Linked DNA regions of Sus scrofa. The protein of the gene in region 2 purifies or fractionates together with the protein of the main gene of each other region. This does not show direct contact. Links are inferred from orthologs where the notes say so. Each region holds a gene or a part of one and is shown on either strand. Other genes may lie near its edges.

Region 1 (10,478 bases), on a different chromosome or scaffold from region 2:
CTACCAGGAAACTAAGATCCAAATGTGATATTTAAACAAAACTGTTTAACTCGAACAGCGTATTTGATTCTTCTGCCATTCTCCTAAGTTCTTCTATTAGTGACATACAAATACAGACATATTTATACATATATTTTGCTGGAAGTGCTTTGACTTCTTTTTGGACAGAGATATGATATAAAGAGGTACTGAGGGCAGGAAGTTACTATGAAAGGAATAAAAGACCTCAGCTAAATCATGAAGATAGGAATTCCTACATAATACCCCAGGTATTTCTGTCTATACATGTGTTTTCACAGGAGAAACAGATGTGAAACTTTGTTTTTGGTTTTTTTGTTTTTTGCTTTTTAGGGCCGCACCTGCAGCATATGGAAGTTTCCAGGCAAGGAGTCAAATTGGAGCTGCAGCTGCTGGCCTACACCACAGCCACATGTAGATCGAGCCACGTCTGCAACCTACATTGCAGCTCACAGAAACTCCGGATCCTTAACCCACTGAGCAAGGCCAGGGATCAAACCAGCATCCTCATGGATACTAGTTGGGTTCATAACCTCCTGGGCTACAATGGGAACTCCCTGAATCTTCTGCAATGTAATATCCTAAAAATCATGGTTTTGAATATTGACAATGTACAGTAATAAATTAAAGAGTCAGTGTTCTCAGATCACATGTTTATGTATTCCCAAAGTTGAGAAAGCAGCATGATCCAACACTCAACTGGAGGGTCTGTTTCCTTCTCTCTATATGGAATACATTAGACAAAATAAGCCCTAAGGCTATTCCAGTGTCAACATTCTTTGAGCCAAACAGTGGCCAAGAGCATAAACACTTGTTAGCCAAACAGACATAGGTTGAAATCCCAGATCCACTGCTATCAGTTATGTACCCACGGAAAAGTTACTAAACACTTAGAACCTCAGTTTCCCCACCTGAGAAAATGAGAAAACAAGAACCTAAAAGTCACAGGTTTATTAAAAAGAACAGAAAAGGGAGTTACTGTCGTAGCTCAGTGGTAACGAATCTGACTCGTATCCATGAGGACATAGGTTTGATTCCTGGCCTTGCTCACTAGGTTAAGGATCCGGCATTGCCGTGACCTATGGTGTAGGTTGCAGACATAGCTCAGATCTGGTGTTGCTGTGGCTATGGTGTAAGCTGGCAGCTACAGCTCCAATTTGGCCCCTACCTGGGAACCTCCATATGCCACGAGTGCAGCCCTAAAAAATCTCAAAAACTCAAAAACTCAAAAAAAAAAAAAAAAAAAAAAGGATGAAAAAATAAAGTGCTTAGTGCCTAAACTGTGGTAAAGATTCAACATAACACATTTATTATTAGTTATATTATTCTACCAGGAAGAAAACTCTAGAGAACATTAATTTTTCATTAAATATATTTTAATACCTAATTAACAATATCATCTTCATCAATTATAGGCTTAGCATATATCTGCACATTTCCCAATGCTTAGGATTGCCTCATATGAAAGACAAAGGATCCTATATTATACTTACTGTTATAAGGGGTATTTATAAAATACCCAAAGGATGCTAAAAATGAATGGGTTACACTTGGCAGAACTCAGATTTCATGTCTAATGACTAGTACTCTGTAGTCAGAGTACTGATTACAAAGTGATGCTAAATATATTCCAGAGAGTAACATTTCAATGAGGGTAAAATACTTTAAGCAATTCCATTCAACTCAACAAATATTTTCTGAATAACTTTTTAATTTAAGTACAGTGATGTACAATGTCACATAAATTATAGATGTATAATATAGTCACTCACAATTTTAAAGGTTATACTCCATTTATAGTTATTAAAACTTTGCCTATATTCCCTAAATTGTACAATAGTTCCTTATAGCTTGTTTTATACATAACAATTTGTATCTCTTAATCCTCTACTCCTATATTGTCCCTCATGCTACCCTCTCTCCACTGGTAATCACTAGTTTGTTCTCTGTATCTGTGAGTCTGCTTCTTTTTTAAAAAAGCTTTTTTTTTTTTTGGCCATGCCCACAGCATGTGAAAGTTCCTGGCCCAGGGATCAAACCCAAGCCACCACAGTGACAACGCTGGATCCTTAACCCACTGTACCACAAGAGAACTCCCAGCCTGTTTCTTTTTTGTTATATTCACTAGTTTATTTTTTAGATTCCACATATAAGTGATATCACACAGTATTTGTTCTCTCTGACTTATTTCACCTAGCATAACACCCTCCATATTCATCCATCTTATTGCAAATGTTAAGATTTCATTCATTTATGGCTGAGTAGTATTCCACTGTGTGTATGTGTGTGTATACATTCACACACACCACATCTTCTTTATCTGTTCATCTGCAGAGGGACATTTAGATTGCTTCCATATCTTAGCATTGTAATTAATGCTGCTATGAACAACTGGCACATATATATTTTCAAATTAAAGTTTTTGTTTTCTTCAGATATATACTCAGAAGTAGAATTGCTGGATCATAAGATAGTTCCATTTTTAGTCTCCTGAGGAAGCTCCATACTGTTTATCCATAATAGCTGCATCTATTTGCATTCCCACTAACAGTGTACTAGGGCTCCCTTTCTCCACATCCTTGCCAACATTGCTATTTGTGTTCTTTTTGATGACAGCCATTCTGACAGGTGTGAGGTGATATCTTACTGTGGGTTTTGATTTGCATTTCCCTGATGATTAGCATATTTTCATATAAGCCTATTGGCCACCTGCATTTCCTCTTTGGAAAATATCTATTTAGGTCTTCTGCCCATTTTTTAATTAGGGTATTTGTTTTTTGCTGTTGTTGAGTTGTATGAACTGTTTTTATATATTGGATATTAACCCTTTATTGGTTATATCATTTCCAAATGTTTTCTCCCACTACAACCATGAGCATCCTCATGGTTCTAGTCGGATTCGTTAACCACTGCGCCACGATGGAATCTATTTTGAGTTAGGTCCCAGGTAGAAAAGGAAACTCAGAGATTAATATGGAGGTTATAATCTAGTAAAAAAAAGAGAACTGTTCACAGCTAACTTTAATGTGAGGCAGTATGGTAGGTCCTGCCCTGCCCGACTCAGTTGCTCTGGTCTTCATACTACATGATTAATAGTCTATAGATTATTCACTATCACTGAGTTGCATGTGACATTTAAACTAAATCATCAGTTGGCAATGTAGCAAAACGGCACTATGAGAAATTGTACTTGAGACATAAATGTTAAATACAAATAATATGGCCAGCTAAAAGCAGTTCTTACAACTATGAAATAATTACGCTGTAATTTTGACATTAAGCAGTGGAATATAAAAGCTTTAGTAATCCCCCAACTCAGATTCCCCACAATCTGGCAGGATCTTACTCCAAACAAGCAGAATATCATTCCCACAATCTGAGAGGGTTTCCAATGAAGAAACTGGGAAGACTTGAAAAGCTGTACTATTTATCCTCCAAACTAATGCCCTCTGATATCCCTTACGGAAAATCAAATTTTTTTTAGCCATGCCTGTGGCATGCAGAGGTTCCCAGGCCACGGACCAAACCTGCACCACAGTGCTAACAATGACAGATCCTTAACCACTAGACCTCTGGGGAACTCCTGAACATCTATCTTTTGAGATTATCCCAATAAAATAAAATTGTTTAAGATTTGCACATCAAAGAGCTGCTTCTCACCAAGACTCAAACTCTGCCAAAATAATTCAGGCAGAACAAAACAGCACCAAAGGAAGATACAAGCAAAGTTCAATAGGAGCTCAGAAAGTAGCTCTATAAGATGAAGCCTACGAGAATGCACAGAGTTTTAATAGGCTGAGGAAGAGCCTAAGAGAATGACCAAGGGCCAGGGATGAAGAGGATGAGGGAACTAGGAATACAATTTGAGTGTTGAATGTGGTAGGAGGAAAGTCTAGTTCTATAACAGCTAGTACCTCACAGACAAAAATGAATCAAAAAAGCCTTGGGTGATCTTTTGCTGCTGTTGTTTTTAATGGCCTCACCTGTGGCACTTGGAAGTTCCTGGGCAGGGACTGAATGTGAGCCACGGCTGTGACCTACACTGCAGCTGCATCAGTGCCAGATCCTTTAAGCCACTACATTGGGCCGGGGATCGAATCCGCACCTCTGCAGTGACCTGAGCCACTGCAAATCAGATTCTTAATCATCTGTGCCATGGCAGGAACCCCCAAAAAAGCCTTGGTTTAGTGATTCTTCAAATTAGGTACTTCCCTGCATATGGACAGTTACCTGTAGCAGCTCTTTAGCTGAACCTCTCTTCTCCACATCCATCTCAAGACAGCGGTTCAAAAAGTCTCGGAAGATAGCTGACAGCTTCTCTGGGTTCTGAAGCTCTGGGGTCCCATTGGTGGCAATGAGGTACAAGGCCTGGTAATGTAAATAGAGAAATGCTTTAGGCTCCAACTGGGTCTCTCGGTCCTCAGACAGGCCCTCTAGAAATATGGTCAGTTGCTTTCTGCCTCCTGAACACAAAGAGGCAGCTCTGGTATATTGATACGGAGAGAATATACCTAAGGGTCACACTTAATATTTAAAGGCCATGTGACCATGTGCAAGCCAGTGAACTCCCAACTTCCTTATCTGTAAAACAGGGACAATAATGGTGCCTATTTCCTATGTCTGTAAAATAAAACAAAACAGTACACTGAAAGCATTTTGCAAGCTTACGAAATGTGTTACAGACCCAAGGGTTTATTATTATTCCTGATTATAGATCTAAATGGTTTATTATTATTATTTATTCAACCTGATGAGTTAAACATCTGCACATTTGCCAAAGGAAATTATTCCTGGTGCCTTTGCCACAGGCATCTAAAAACGGATCTCTTCCAGCAGGAAAGGAATATTTAAAGAAAGTATTCTGTAAAGGAGCAACCTGTTTCACTGTGCCACCTTGGTCCCCTCACATAAAGCATCTCCTGGGAAAGGTAAAAACTTACCCGTACTAAACCTTTTCAAGCACTTAGCACTTTCATTCATAAAGTGTTGACACAACTACTTACTATCTAATTTAATGACCACAATAACTCTGGGTAGTAAGCAGGGCAAGAATTATCATCCCCATTTCACGGATAAGGCCAGGAACATAAACAGATATGCCTGGGATCATGCTGTTTGTACAAGCTCTTGTTCTCTGACTTTAATCCCAGTCTTATTTGCATCACACTGTACTGATCATCATTTTCAAGGCCACTCTGAGGTGAAGGAAGATGAGTGGTATGTGGATTCATAGGGCAAAACTGGGAGCCAAGGGCAGAAACTACAGAAGGTAGTTTCAGTTTGATACATTAAGCACATTCCAATAATCAGGGCTATCCTAGAGGTATCCAGCTAAGATTAGATGACTGCCGTCAGCAACAATGCACAGGGTATTCCTGCATTAAATAGGAGGTTGGAATAAATAACAAAATAAAAGCAATCAGAATAACTCTCATATTTGCCCATGATCAAAATCATCAACCTACATACAGGTGTATTCACATACTGCTTTCCCTCTCCTATTACAACGAAAAATTGTCCATATTCTAATCTAATGCTCTTTGCTTCAGTGCTTGATCCAACCCCTCTTATCTACTTAGCAGCATCATCCCTACAGAGTCGCTTCTCTCTTGTACATGACCATTTTCCTCCTCTCCACTAGATCACTCCCATCAGCACAAAAGCATGACATAGTAACATCTTCAAAAAAACCCACAATAACCCTCCCCTGATGCCACTTCAAAATACTGCTCCATTTCTGTTACCTTAAGAGCAAAACTTAAAAAATAAAAATAAAACCAACTGTTTATACATGCCACCTCAACCTCTTCCACTCTGATGGATTTATTCTAATTAGGCTTTCATTTCCATCACTCCAATGAAACTGATTCTCAAGGTCATCGATAACTTTCACACTGGCAAATCTAATGACCATTTCCTAGTGTTAATGCAACCTGTCCGTCACATCTGACACAGTGATCCATCCTCCTTCTCAAAACACCTTCTCCTCCTAAGAGGCCTCCAGGACACTTCTCTCAGTTCTCCTTCTACCAGAAAGGCCACTCATCAGTCTACTCTGCTAGTTCCTCCAGCCTGTAAGCAGGAGAGTATCCCAGGTCTCAGGACTCACACCTCACTCCTGAGGTGAGGGATCTCATTATCACCTAGCTCTGATTTTTAAATAAACCAACCATATAATACCTAGTAATACATTTATATTTATGGTCCTGACCTCTACCCCTTGAATTCTGAACTCTTATGCCCAATTCTAATCAGAATCTCCACGTTGATATCTAATAAACATTTCAAATTAACACAGTCAGAACCAACTCTTATTATCCACTTTACCTGTTCTTCATACTTCTCAGGAAATGGCAAGTGAATTCTCTGCAATGAAGGCCCCAAATCTCATATTTATTTTTGATTCCTCTTTCCCTGATATCCCCTTCAGCTTGTCAGCTATACATTCAAGATATTTTCTGAGTCCAACTACTCTTCCTTCTAGTCTTGACAATGTAGTTTCAACCATCACTCTCGTGTGAACAATTACAACAGTCTCACAGTCTATTTTCAAAAAAGCACCCAAATGATTCATTTACAACATTAGTCAGATTATATTATTCCTGAGCTCAAAATCCTCCAATGGCTTCCAATCTCTCACAGAATAAAAACCAAGTTCCCACAATGGCCACAAGGTCTTAGGAGATCTGACCTTGGCTACTCTGCTCACTCACCACAAGGAGACTGGTCTCCTTGATTTTCCTCAGGCTACATCAAGCATGTTCTCAAAATTAGTTCTTTGTATACCTGATACTTGGAAAACCCTTGTGTTAGATTAACCTCATGGCTCACTTCTTTATTTTCTTCAGGTTTCTGTGCAAATAACTTACAAGAGAGGACTTCATTCTCTGCCCAGAATAAAACAGCACACTTCTCCCTCTTTCCCCCTTTACTCTCTTAAGCCCCTTTCCCTGCCTTTTTTCCATAGCACTTATCTTCTGTTACTAGAGACTAATTTGTTTTATTATCATTAGAACAGTTTCTTGCACATTATAGGAACTCAAATAATCACTGAAAATGAATGAATGACTACTAATAAATGTTCTCTTTAGGCATTTATACTTTAAGTTCAACAGCACCTAGTTTTATCCAAAAATAGAAAGCCAAAAGCCCAAACATCTTGATATGGAACTAGTAACACTTACTCTCAGAGGGTTTTCATTGAGGTATGGGGGTTCCCCTTCAATCATTTCAATGGCCATGATGCCCAGGGACCAAATGTCAACCTTGGGTCCATAGGCCTTCCGAGTTACAACCTCTGGTGCCATCCAATATGGGGTTCCCACCATGGTGCTCCGTTTGCTCTGCTCTGGGGTGATCTGGGCACAGAATCCAAAATCAGCTAGAAAAGGAAAAGAAACGACAGAAAGAATTTATATGTGGAGTATTCCTTCTGTATGTATTGACTATGTGCCTACCCCTAGGTGTCAGGCTCTGCCTGGGTCCTAGCCACTGCATCCCTTGTCTTTCCAAACCTGGAGTCACGAAACTGCCACCTCCATGTCCAGCCCCTAGCCTGTCTTCTGTTCACCTTTCAAGGAGAAACATAACAAACATCGTCTCTGGCCTCCCACCCCTCCTCAAACTGGAAGGACTAGGTATTAAAAGTCAAGCTGCCCATTCTGACCTTGACTACTTGCCCAAACCCTGCTTTCTTCTTTCTTTTTTTGGATGGCTTTTTAAAAAATTTTTATTTTCTATTAAAATATAGCTGATTTATGTTATGTTAGTTTCAGGTACACAGCAAAGTGAGTCAGCTATACATACATCCATTCTTTTTCAGATTCTTTTCCCATATATGTTATTACAGAGTATTGAGTAGAATTCTCTGTGCTATACAGTAGGTCCTTGTTTATTACTATTTTATATAAAGTAGTGTGTATGTGTTAATCCCAAACTCCTAATTTATCCCTCCCCCCTCTGTTTTCTTCTTGAAAACCACTCTCATGCCCTAGGATCTGGTAACCAGGTTGCTTTATTTCCTGGGCATAAGTCCCAGACTTAAATCCAATTTACCTGCGCCCAGGCACGGCCCTGCTTTTATCAGTTCCTCACCCTGTGCCCTATGACAGAGGCTGCTAACCGTCTTCCCATCTACTGCGACACAACCTGTTTGTCTGCACCACAGCCCTTACACTTTTGAACAAAATGTTCGTCCTGCAGTTCATTCACAGTATATTGCAGTTATGTTTATTTAATTATGAGGCCTTCAATAGGAAGGACTGTCTTCTTACTCATTTTTTCTCCATTCACAATAGGCCCAGTATGTGATACACATTTAACAAAAGCTTGCTGAATGAACGACTGAATGAAAGAAATTACACAAATTTTTTTTTAATTATGTATTTTGTCTACACTGCACATGCACAGCCATACTAGGCTGAGAACTCCTTGAGTACAGGCCAAATATCCTTGGTATCCATCACAGGACCTAGCATGTATAAATTTTTTGGCTGAATGCATAAATGAGTGAGAAAAAAAATGACATTCCATATAGTGCTGAGTAATATGAAGTACCTGCATACTAGAGGAAATAAAGATTCTATGGTGAACCTTGTAGCTACTCTCACATGGTTACCATCCCAGAAGAGACAGGGTCCCACAGCGAAGAGAGGTGTTACCACTCCTACTCACTTAGCTTGACAGAGCCATCCATTCCCAACAGGATGTTGTCACTCTTGATGTCTCTATGAATAACTTGATTTGAATGCAGAAATTCCAAAGCCTGCAGGCACTATTGAAGCAATGTGGGCAGAGGGAGAAAAAAAGGACATATAATATGAAAGCTTACAAAAAAATCACTATTCCAACCTTCTCATTTTATAACAAAAGTGAGGTCTCAGTGTGTAAAAGACTTGCTCCAGTGTGTAAATCAGTGGAAGAGGCAGGTCTAGAACCTAGTCTCTTGTCTCCTAAGCATTCTTTTAACACTCCATGCTACCTTATACCTTTCTTTTTACAGACCTGATTATATATCACAATCTTATTATAGTTAAACCTTATTTGATATCATCTCATATTATATCTCATTATAGTTTGAAGTAAAACACTCCCTCCAAAGTATTTTAGAGTTCTTTACAGAACATCAGATCCCTGACAAAGGACGTGAGGCAAACAAACAAACAAAAAAAAAAAGAAAAAAAAAAAGAAGAAAGAAAGAAAAAGAAAAAGGACTGAGGAAAAACAGAAAGAATTTTATAATGAAAAAACTAGAGGAAAGCCACAAATAAGAGTCACATTTCCAGAGATTTCTCATCGCTCAGCAGGTTAAGGATCTGGCATTGTCACAGCTGTGCCTCTGATTACAGCTGTGGCCTGGGTTTGACCTCTGGCCCAAGAACTTTCGCAAAAAAGTCACATTTGGGAAACTAGAAAAATGGAAGCAGAGAACTTAGAATGGTAATCTTATTTTGGTGAGGAGATAAATTTGTACTGTTTTGGATATGCTGAACTTTATATTCCTATAAATATCTGCAGACAAACGTCCAGGAGGCAAATGAAGATGTGAGTCTTGAGTTCTGTACAGAGGTCTGGACAAACGTTTATAATCATTTGTGAAGAGGTAATTTTTTTTTAAAGTTATAGTAACGGTTAGAACTGGAAAATGTTATAGATGATAAGAAGAGAAAGAAAAGAACCTTGGAAAACACCCAGGCTTAGCAGGCAGAATGAGTAATGCAGAGACTGAATGGAACAATGAAAATGCCTGGTACTGACCAATAATATTATTCTAGAGAAATCTCTCACTCTCTCTGGGCTACTGTTTTCCCATCTGTAAAACGTGGGGGATCAGAAAGGATACTCTCAGGGTTACTATTAAATCAACTAGTTTTAAGTTCATACCCCAAGGCTAAAATTTTAGAGGCTTCTACCAATTAAAAAATACTAATGATGCAAACTAATCAGAAAATACTATTTAAATGTCCTCAATATTTCACTTTCTTTTTAAAATTAAAAAAAAAATTTTTCTTTTTAAGGTAGCACCTGCAGCATATAGAAGTTCCTGGGCTAGGTGTCGAATCAGAGTTGCAGCTGCAGCCTACACCACAGTCACAGCAACACCAGATCCAAGCCACATCTGTGACCTATGCTCAGCTTGCAGCAACACTGGATCCTTAATCCAGGGATCGGACCCACATCCTCAAGGACACCATGTCCTTGAGTCACAACGGGAACTCCCAATACTTCATTTTCTAAGAACAAAGTAATGGTTAAATTAAAAACAAACAATAGCCAGAGTGGTTTTTCTTCCTGGAAAAGTAAAGAGTTGCTTTCCTAAGAAGCAAGAGACGCTGGCCTTTGGACATCAAAAATTATGATAAAAAAGGATGATTTCAAGAAATTGGATCCTTCATACACCGTTGGTGGGAATATAAAACAGTACAACCACTTTGGAAAACTGGCTGATCAGGAAAATGTTA
Region 2 (10,956 bases):
TCTGTGCGCTCAAGTCTCAAAGGACAGAGTTCAAACTTTACAGAAGTGACCCCAATAGCTACCAGGCTCAGTCTATATTGCTAGAGAGGAATAGTCCAGAAGACCTCAGGCCAAATGTCTGAAATCTGGTCTTCCGCCATGCTTGGGAGGCCAGGGCTTCAGGGTCAGTCACAGATCTGCGTGGGTGTAGGAACCCCAGGGGTCACTGCTTCAGAGGTCATCCTGGTGCATCTCTCTTCCCCCCACCCCCACAGAGCCTAGGGGAGCCGGGAAGAGGGCCATGTCCCAGGGTCTGAGCACCCAGGGAGGACTCTGCCCAGGCTGGTGAGAGCAGAGTAAGAGTGATGATAACACCTCTAGCCGGACCTCCAAGACCCTATGATTTAGTGTGTGAAGTCAATGGAAAGGGTTCTCCAGACAGTGACAGCACTGTGAAGGTGACTTAAAACCTCCCAATTTTTACGGATTAGAAAGCCATCGGAATTAATGAAAGTTTAGTATTATAGAAACAAATTTCAAACAAAATATCTGATCACTAACAAGTCCTTATGTTAACAAAGGGACTGAATCAGTGTTTATGGAATTGATTTAATGAATAGATAAAATGATTTTAGATTAGCAATAAGCAAGTATGAAAATATTTCAGTAGCACATGATGTATATTCTACTTTCCAGAAGTTTTTCCCCATCCAAAAATCTGTCCTCAGGCACCTCTGACATCCAATTGCATTTAGAACATCCCATTACCCCCACCACGCTGTGCCTTGCATTACAGTTATTTTATAGATATTTTCTCTCTTACTGGAATTGTAAATCCCTTGAGGTCCAGACCCAGCTCTAAAAGCATCTGAAGAGATCACCACTGTTTTGCTTGGTCACACTAAGTTCATCAGTTGGATTCCTCCCTCTAAAGACGAAGCTAACAGCCACACTCCTTTCCCCTCCAAAATCAAACGAATGACACAATTTCAGTGTGCAGAGGCAGTATCCACCTTCTAGGACATTCTAGAGGCACACGGCAGAGAAAGCGGGCCTCCTGCTACAGCATTTCCTTCTCAAAGCCACACTTGGGCAGATTGGTATGGCATCTGGGTGTGCGCCCCTTCTTCATTCAAAGTGCTACTCTCCACTGCAAACCCAGAAATGGATTTTGACCATGATTTGAATGTGTGAGAATTCCTTTCTCTTCCCCGTTGTAGAATTATGGGCTTTTCCTTGCCCTCGACTGGGAAGATCTCAAAAAGGGAGGTAGTTGCAGTTTCTGGAAGGAAGGCAGGAAGACAATTCTATCATTTCACAGCTGCCGGCCAAGGTGATTACAGTCGTTGGGAAATGATTCCATGGTGAGGTCTTATCTTTAGGGTGGCTTAAAAATTAGAGGAGGTCAAGGTTTTGCAATAGCTAAGAGGGTTTCTAAAGAGTTCTTATCCTCTGTGGGGATTTGGGCAGCTGGAAAATGTTTGGCCTGGGGCGTTTCTGTGATGTATGTTTGGGGAGGGAAGTCGGAAGCGTATCAGTTGCTGCAAAGGTCTGGGAAGGAGGCTCTTTTATCTCAAGGGTCAGAACAGCTGGGAGGGCAGGTTGGCTGCTGCAGCAGAGTTGAGGGAATGAAATGGGGGCGTTTCTCCTCCTGGGGGATGGGCACCAGCTGGGAAGACCCAGAGCAGGGGTTTAAGGAGGAAAATTACAAAGGCTGAGAGCAGAAAGGGGCCTGCAGTATAGCTTGGCCTGCCTTGCATGCATCTGTTTTCAGCCTTCGCAGTGTTTCCAGGCTTTCTGCTCCAGTGAGCTTCCACTGCAAATTTACCTGCCATCCTCCCAATGGCCCTCCCTGGGGCTTTCATCTTTCTCCAGGAACTTATGTCTATAATTTGCCTCTTTTGTGATAATCCTCCAGGACCACTTCAATTTGTTGAACATATTAAAGCACATATAATAACACTTGCAGAAGACGATACCTTTATTAAAAATAAATATTACAGATGTAAAAAATGCACAACAGCAATTAATGATATGTGCTCCTGGGAAAGTTTTGTATAAATAGGATTTATGGTGTGATTTACTGATTTCTCCTACATTTAGGAGGACCTCCTGCAGCCCCTGCCTCGGTCAGCACTGAGATGTGGCCATAAACGGGAAAAAAAATGGGCCAAAAAGAGTGGAAGGGGCAATATTGGACATAAGAGGGCCAGATAAAAAGGGAGCAAAGCAAAGTTTGGGTTTCCAGGACACAAAAACCACTATATGGTCAGAGGTAGGAGTAGCCCCACATTTGGTTGGGCCTGAAGCTTATCAAATTTCTGGGCCTTCCTTAAGAGAAATGATAAAAATTTAAGAACAGAAAATTAAGTACAAAAAATTTTAACTTCAATGAGAAATGCATCAAAATTAGTTATAAAATTTAAGGAGTTCCCATTGTGGCACATGGGAAACGAACCTGACTAGTAACTATGAGGTTTCGGGTTTGATCCCTGGCCTTGCTCAGTGGGTTAAGGATCCGGTGTTGCCATGAGCTGTGGTGTAGGTCACAGATGTGGCTCGGATCCTGCATTGCTGTGACCATGGGGTAGGCTAGCGGCTATAGCTCTGATTCAACCCCTAGCCTGGGAACCTCCATGTGCCATGGGTGCAGCCTAAAAAGGAAAAAAAAAAAATTAAAAGGCTGACAAACACCATAAATTTCAAATACATCCACTAGAAGACACTTCAATGAACTCCCTGACATACTGTGATAACGCTATTTTTTCCTACATTTTTGTGGCTGCACTCCTCATCCTAACTTTATTAGGTATAGTTGACAAAGAAAATTGTACATATTTAAGGTGTACAACTTGATGATTTGGTATATGTATACATTGTGAAATATTCACGTGTGTGTGTGTGTGTGTGTGTGTGTGTGTGTGTGGAGAACATTGAGGATGTCCACTTAGAGATGCAAGTGTACAGGACAGTATTGTTAACTCTAGTCACACTGTGTGCAGTAGAGCTCCAGAATGTATTTATCCTGCATAACTGAAGCTGTATATCCCTTGAAGGGCACCTCCCCACATGTGCTGGGGTGCATGCCCTTTGACCTCTTTTTCAATGTTGTGGTTTTGCATTATGTTTTCCAGAGAGGAATGGAAGTGGACTTCACAGGCAGGTTTGTATCTTCACAAACACAGGACTTTGCATCAATTCTTTCGTGTGTGTGTGTGTGTGTGTGTGTGTGTGTGTTTCTAGGGCCGTACCCACAACATATGGAATTTCCCAGGCTAGAGGTGGAATCAGAGCTGCAGCTGCTGGCCTACACCACAGCCACAGCAATGCAGGATCCAAGCCGCATCTGTGACTCACACCACAGCTCATGGAAATGCTGGATCCTTAACCCACTGAGCAAGGCCAGGGATTGAATCCTCAACCTCGTGTATACTAGTTGAGTTCATTACTGCTGAGCCATGACAGGAAATCCCCACATCAATTCTATTTCCTGTGATTTCCTTCAAAAATGTATGGTGCATCTATAATTTTATATGCTGCATTTAGAGTGTATTCCTGAGTGGAGGGAGCTTCCATTTTGACCAGGTATAGAGAGAGACAAGCCCCCTCCAACAATACTGTGTGTTTTATAATGGAAAGAATTGCCACAAACACAAACTAGCTTCTGGCTTCAAGAAGCTACATCTCCAACTGTTATTGCTTTGCCACTGGACCCTCCCAATGCTGGGGAAAATGGGAAAGTCCGCTTAGATGCCAGCAGGACCCCACAGAACAGGTGTGTTACTTGCAGCCATTCCTTCACCTGGGAAATAAGGTAACTAACACGAGAATGTGTTAGAATACCACATAGGTATCAGCCATCAAGGTCAGAGTTAGGCAGAGGCAGATGAGGCCAGGGTACTCAAAGCAAGTGCCTTAGGGTCAGGCAAGCGTGAAGTTGGCCCCTTCAACTTTGCTCCCTTGGCCCCTCACCGTAGTCCTGGCTCTGCATCCATTAAACCTAAACAAATTGTCTCCCCAACTTCACTTTCCTTGACTTGATCCTCAGAATGTCCACTGCCACTCAATATGAGAAGTTAGAGCTGAAAGAGACAATGGGCTTAACCAGTGGTGGTTAAAATATGACTTTGCAGGGAGTTTCCATTGTGGTACAGCAGAAACAAATCCGACTAGTATCCACAAGGATGTGGGTTCGATCCCTGGCCTCGCTCAGTGGGTCAGGTATCTGGCGTTGCTGGGAGCTGTGGTGTAGGTCGCAGCTCAGATCCCACATCGCTGTGGCTGTGGCTGTAGCAGAGGCTGCAGCTATAGCTCCAATTTGACCCCTAGCCTGGGAATCTTAAAAAAAGAAAAAGAAAAAAAAAGTGACTTTGCAAAATTTACAGACGTATAATGGGTGTGTTCACACTGTTAGGGCCCCCAAGGCCCTGGAGACGTTCTGTGCAAATGGAAGCCTGGATTCAAGCGTGTAGCATCTTGATAGACTCACCTCTGCATTCCACCTACCGCCAAACTTTCAAGTCTGAGTTTATCACTCTGGCTTATTTTAGCTTCCTGGAGCTAGACCCTGAATCCTGACACCACCACTTCCTCGTTTGTAGACCTTGGGCATTTTATTTGATATCTCTGTGCCTCGGATTTTCTTATCCTCTACCCTTAAAATGGCTATCAGTAATGATAAAATGAAAGGAATTAATTCATGCAGAATGCTTACCAGTGTCTGGCATATAAAAAAGGCTCAATGTTTATTAGCTATTGTAATTTTTATTATTGGTTTCGCTATTCATGTTAAAAGTACGTGCCTCTTCTCACACCCCACTGTCAACCCGACGGAGCCTTTGCGGCCCGACTAGGCCCAGAAAGGCTGCCCTGTCTTTCCCCACAGACTGCTGCCTAAATGTAGGAGGAAGCCAGAGAACAAGTCAGAGAAAAATGAAAATTTCCCCCAGGTAATATTAATGTCACCAAATTATACTGAAGCAAATGAAGGAACTGGGGCTCTAAAGAAATCTCTTGGTTCATGGCGTGCCAAAGAGCAGGTCCAACAAGCATTAACAATGGACTTGGCCTTCTTTTGCTCCCAGATGATATAAGAATAGATATAAGAATACATTAGACGAAGAAAAATCACACGCTGGGCTGCAGCGAGACCTTACGATAAGAGTTGCCTGTTAGCCTCGTTCAGACGATACGTCCCCAAGACCCTCACAGCTAGCTTGGAGGCCCGGACTGGGCGGGGAGGAGGGGGCAAGGGCCACGGGGCCAGGAGGAGCTCGGGTCGCCAGCCGCGTGGCCGAAGGAAGCGGCAACGAGCGGGCCGCTCCGCGGTGGCGTCAGTTCCGTGCGTCTGGAGAAGCAGCTCTCGGCCGGTACTCCCGTCCGCGCCGCCCCCAGCGGGTGTCCGGGTCCTCACCGCGGGTGCCACGGGCCCTCGGCCTGAGGCTGCAGCCCCGCCCCCGCACGCTCGGCTCCCGCACGGGTGCAGGGGCCGGGCGCGCAGGCTGGGGGCGCTGTGGGCCCGGCGCGGGGACCGAGTGGCCGGCGGCCCCGCCTCCTCCCTTGGCGCCCGCCCCCGCGCGCAGTGTCGCCAGGCAGCCGGGAGGAGACATCGCGCCCGGGCTCCGCGCCGCTCGGCCCGCAGTCCTCGGCCGCGGAGCGGAGCCGGCGCCGCCCGAGTCCCAGCCCCGCAGCGACCCGCCCGGCCGCCTTTGTCTGGAGCCGCGCGGCCCGGAGCTGCGGCTCTCGCTCCAGTCGGTGACAGCTCCTCCGGCGGCGGGAGCGGGCCGATGCCCCCGCAGCAGGGGGACCCAGCGTTCCCGGGCCGCTGCGAAGCGCCGCCCGTGCCGCCCCGCCGGGAGCGCGGGGGGCGCGGGGCGCGCGGGCCCGGGGTGCCGGGGGGCCGAGGGCGCCCGGGCGGCAGCGAGGGGCGCGGCGTCAAGTGCGTGCTGGTCGGCGACGGCGCGGTGGGCAAGACGAGTCTGGTGGTGAGCTACACCACCAACGGCTACCCCACCGAGTACATCCCTACCGCCTTTGACAACTTCTCGGGTGAGCGGGGCGGGGGGGCATGGGCGGCGCGGGGCCGGCCCAGAGAGGAAGCGGACGATTCCCGAGCTTCGGTGCCGGGACCGCGCGGGGCAAACGGCGGGACCGCGGGGAAGCCGGAACCCGAACCCGGAGCCCGAACCCGGGCACGAGGACTGGAGGGCGCCTCGCCATTTAGGAGCAGAAGGCGGGACCTCACAGGTCGCGCCCAGGTGGCCTGGTCAGTTTCCTGCGGCTAGAAGTTGCGTCAGGTCGATGTTGCTGGCGCTGCTGCAGTTTCGATCAGAAGGTGACGCGCAGGTGCCATTACCTGTGGCCCTGAGGGTCCATCCTTTTCTGTCAGTGGCTCCCTTACCAGGCAGCGTCGTCACTTTAAAGAGCAGCGGAGACGAAGGAAGAGAATGGATTTGGTGGAAATGGCACTAGGGGTCCTGGAAAGGCTGAGGTTTGGATTAAAGCTGGAGAGTAAACATTTCTCTCCTCAGAACCTCACCCCCACTTCCCTCGCTTCCACCTCCCCGCTTGACTGTGTTTCTGACTATTGGTATCTTTTCGCTATCTAATTAGGCTGCTCGCTTCTCTGTACAGGATGCTATGATACTTGGTTTGGTATCTACGAAGATAAAGGAATCCTTAACACTGGTTTTTCAAGTCTTTATGAAATTTAAGAAAAAGTTAAAATCTACAGACACCAGTCTGAAACACTTTCTCTTGCTCTTAAAAGTTTCCTGATGTTTTAGAAAGTCACAGTGGCAAGGTCTTGCTTTCATCCACCTGGAAGTTCCCCTAAGTAAAAACAGTGCTGTGCTGGTGGGTTTCCCACCTAAATGATATTGTGCTTTTTTTTTTTTTTCTTTCTTTTTTCCCTCCCAACTGACTGGTATAAACATTTATATAAACAATTTAGAAAGTTGCATTGAAAGGAAGCTGAGTGCTTCACTCACATAAAGACCTCAGAGCAGTATCCTGATGCAGGCCCCTCCCCAGTCACCTCTTCCCAGTGGAAAGGTGGCCATGGCTTTCTTTCCTTTTCTCTCTTAATCCTCTCTTTGAGCTGACATGAAGAGATAAGCAGAGGCCTCTTATAAACAGGACAACACTGGCAGCCTGTGTTTGCACATGTTCTCAAAAAAGCTACACTTTTATGATAAACCCCAAAGATGCCCAGCGTTTCCCAAGGGAAAACAGAAGTATTCGTGAGGTTTTCCACTGACTTAGAACTGCAAGTTCCCAATTACCCCCAGTGTTGTTTTTAAGTTCTTTTAAACAAGTGCAACAAGAAAATACGTCTTCTAGGTCTGGGAGGAAAGCGCAGGCCCTTCTGGGATGTTGTTAAAGGCTCTGAGCTTTGCTGCCTCCTCTGTGACAATGGAGATTTGTACAGAGAAGTGCCTCCATGGGGTCTCCTTGTTTTAGGTAAGCCTTGAGCTGGCTAAGGGATCCAGAGTAGGAGCTGAAGGTTTAGAGTAAGAATGGTCATGCAAGCTAAAACTATTTTTCTTCTGAAGAGAGTTAAAAGACACCCCCTGATAGTCATTTTGTTCTTATTTTTAAGCTGTGGTGTCTGTGGATGGGCGGCCTGTGAGACTCCAGCTCTGTGACACCGCAGGACAGGTCAGTATCACATCACTGCTCAGTGCTGGACAAGGAAATGGCCTTTGAAAGACCTTCAAGTAACAGCCCCATAACTGGGCCGTTCTAAAGCCCCACCCCTTTCTTTGGCCCCTCTCAGAGGGTGGGGTGGGGGGAGATGGCGCTGCACTAATAAAAGAGGGTTTGGCCCAACTTTGTGTGGGCAGGACAGGGGAAAATGGGGTCAAGAGCAGTTCTTATCTTAGGGGAGTTTCTGATCTTATTTACTTTCTGGTTTTTATTAAAAATGATCAATGATGCTTTGTAATCATTTCTCCAAGTAAGTTGGTGATATAATTATTAAAGGCCAAACAAGCCAAATACTTAAGAAACGTACTCAAGAAAAGGATGGAGCTTATGTCAGTAGCTGTTACTATTTCCCCTCCCAGGTGTGGTTGGACTCACTAGGGCACCCCCAGCCATTGAAGCAGAGGTGCAGTGGTCCAGGATGACCTAAGCTAGAGGGATGAATGAGCTGGAACTTGGTCTTTCTGAATTTATTCTGGTCTTGAGGGCCAGCCACTTGGAGGAGACAGCCGGGGGATGATGGGGAGAACCCATGTGAAGTCCCCTTTGGAGTGTCCCCAGAGAGCTCCAGGGGCCCTAGTCCCCTGCACAGTGCCCACGTTACGGAGTTCTCACTGTGCTCTGTGAGAACCCTGGGTGCTATCTCTTGAGTTTGCCAAAGTGACAGTTAATAAGCATGTAGTCCCTCCAATGCTTGCTGGAATTCATGAAAGTGTGGGGGTACTTCCTTGGCAGGTAAGAGTGCCCATTTCACTTGAGGTATCACATGACCACGTGCATTTAAGAAGCAGCTGGCTTTCTAGAATGAGTCCCCAAGTGCCTCATTCAAATCAGGGCTTCCAGGTCACTTACCTGCTCCAGGACCGCAAATTCAGGGCTTTATTTCTCAAACCTCGAGGTACACGACTGGGTGACCCAGTCCCCAGCTGAATGTCAGTGTGGTGATGGTCACAATGGCTTGTCATAGCCCCACCTCTTCTGTTCTGTCTTTGCCCTTCTACTGGGGCTCCTTAGCCCTCACTTTTACCAGGATCAGAAACAACCCACCAGTCTGTGAAAAAGAAAAATCAAAGAACACAGGGTCTTCTAATACTTAATCTTTCAGGGTGCCCTGCTGCTATTTATAATTAAAGCTTAATTGTTTTGTATAAAGTGAGAATGTTTTTCCTACTTAGGGTCAGATTTTCTGATCTTGAAAATGAGGGTTGGGTAGCACCTCAATAAACAGAGGGCTCCCCCCTGGAGCAAGAAGTGGCAGCTAAACAGCCTAAGAATAAGACAGAAGGCAGGAAAACATAAGGCACCAAACTGCACGCTTCTCTGAGACCCTTTAGAGAGAGCACGTGGCCATGCCCTCCCCAAAGGGTTGCCTGTCAGGCCTTGGTTTTCCTGGCAGACACAGCTTTCAGGGCTGGGGTTCTCTGCCTAGTGCCCCCTCAGTGCCTGCACATCCTGGGGTTTAATCATGGTTTGTAGAATGGATCAGTAAATGGATGGAGTGTTAGGTCCTGAGGAATGCAAACTTCAGTCATGGGTCTGTCCATCAGCAGATTTACAGTCTGTAGGGAAGACGAACCAGTTAGTAGAACTTGAGAAAGAAGTTACAGAAAGAATAAGGCAGCTTCAGCTGGAGGGGCAGGATGGATAGACCTGGGGGGAAATCTCTGAGCAGTTTTGAAAGAGGAATGGGATTTTTACCAGAAGAACTTTGTAGGAATGATCCTGAATTATCAGAGTTTGATTTTTCTCAAGTATGATCTGTTTCAAAGTCAAAGAATCAAAAGAATCATTTTATAAATATTTTCATGAAAAAAGTTTATCATTAGGGAAATAAAATGATTCTGGTGCAAGTTGATAAGCTTTGGTTTATTTGGAAATTATTCTTCTAGTCTCCCAGCAGTGTTTTCATTGAGATTCACTGTATTTCTTGATGGATGTTCTGGTTAGTAAAGTATGCTTTATTGTGTAGCCGCCTTCTATAGATTTGTAGAAAATCAAATTCAGAAATTAGTTATAAAAAATACACAGCTGGTAAGATAAAAGTAGCTTGTCCTCTGCTTCTAAAGTATCAATTAGTATTTGTTTTGACCATCAGCAAAGCTGGTCAAGATGGCATCCTTTTCTGCCCTCCTTACTCCAGATCTGATCAACTACTTTTTAAGGGACTTGGGTTAGCATATTTCCTTGGCATCGTCCCAGCCAGTGGCAACCCCCCCTCCAGGCAGTCCTCATGGTGGCCTCGTGGATAAACTGACTCGAGCCACCTCCATTCTAAACTCCCGGGAATGTGAACACAGGTAGCGTAGCCTGGGGACCAGACTCACGTTTCACATAGCCCCTGAGAGCAAGCATAGCGCTCTGCTGGCTGGATGAGTAGCTAGAAATTGCTTCTTGTGCCTTGGGGTTTCCTGTTGGGGTCTCAGTGAGTATATGAGATGTGAGGAGGAGTTTTTAACGCTAGACTTACCATCTTACTCAAGTGAAATTCCATCACATGGAGGCCTTGAAGAAACCTACCTTTGCTGTAGAGAAAGCACCCTCCCTGAAACAGGAGCAGTGCACTGTAGCCTTGCCAATAGCAGCTGAAAACTCTTCAGCCTTTTGACTCAGGAAGCACTTGGGAAAATCTTTGCTCTTAAAAAAAAAGAAAAGAAAAAGTCTGATTGAAGCTTGACCAACACTGCTCTCCAGCCAGCCTGGCCCTGAATCTCTGCACCATCTCAGAGTCGCATGCAAATCTCTGGGCCTCAGAACATGTTTCCTGGAGGGTACATTCCAGTTGGCCTCATCACATGTATGTGTGTTGCACTTGTTTCAGCAAATATCTAAGGTTTCTGGTCAGGCAGTGAGCAGAGGGGTTTAATGTCTGCCCTGTTTCCCGAGTCCCTAAGCCAGAACCTCGAGAGGTCTGTGGACTCCTGTCACGGGGCCCAGCCCTGTGCTTGCCTTTCTTTTTATTGGTAATGCAACCCCAGATTCCAGGGCACAGCCAAGTGTGATGCCTTCCAGCATTGAGGGGCAGTGAGGGGGGGGGGCGGGGGGGTGCTGACTTTACACTGTTTTGTGCTTCTTCCTTTCAGGCCTCTGAGAACAGAGGGAGCGTTTCATTAAAAGATCTTTGGGGCTGGGCCACCTGGTTAGGATTCTGTGTTTATTCTTTCAGCACAAAGTTGGCAGTAAGAAACCCAAGACTTTTTTTTTTTCTTTTTAACTTTTCTGTATAGAAGACAGAGAAGTGAAGTGGTACTCACCTTGTGAGATGCCATATTCCTT

Evidence for each region. Proteins that work in one complex are often made in the same cells at the same time.
Region 1: the proteins of RHOU (region 2) and PAK1 purify together in Homo sapiens (co-immunoprecipitation; 5 studies listed by BioGRID and IntAct, with this or other methods). This does not show direct contact. The link is inferred for Sus scrofa from reciprocal best matches to the Homo sapiens genes RHOU and PAK1.

What each region holds. Positions count from the first base shown.
Region 1 is NC_010451.4:11,832,510-11,842,987, forward strand, and holds part of PAK1 (serine/threonine-protein kinase PAK 1), read right to left. Parts: intron 8,792-10,478; coding exon 8,692-8,791; intron 7,400-8,691; coding exon 7,203-7,399; intron 4,387-7,202; coding exon 4,249-4,386; intron 1-4,248. UniProt on the Homo sapiens protein: Protein kinase involved in intracellular signaling pathways downstream of integrins and receptor-type kinases that plays an important role in cytoskeleton dynamics, in cell adhesion, migration, proliferation, apoptosis, mitosis, and in vesicle-mediated transport processes.
Region 2 is NC_010456.5:60,672,392-60,683,347, reverse strand, and holds the start of RHOU (rho-related GTP-binding protein RhoU), read left to right. Parts: upstream 1-5,765; coding exon 5,766-6,027; intron 6,028-7,579; coding exon 7,580-7,638; intron 7,639-10,956. UniProt on the Homo sapiens protein: Binds to and activates protein kinase PAK1. Plays a role in the regulation of cell morphology, cytoskeletal organization and focal adhesion assembly during cell migration. Also stimulates quiescent cells to reenter the cell cycle.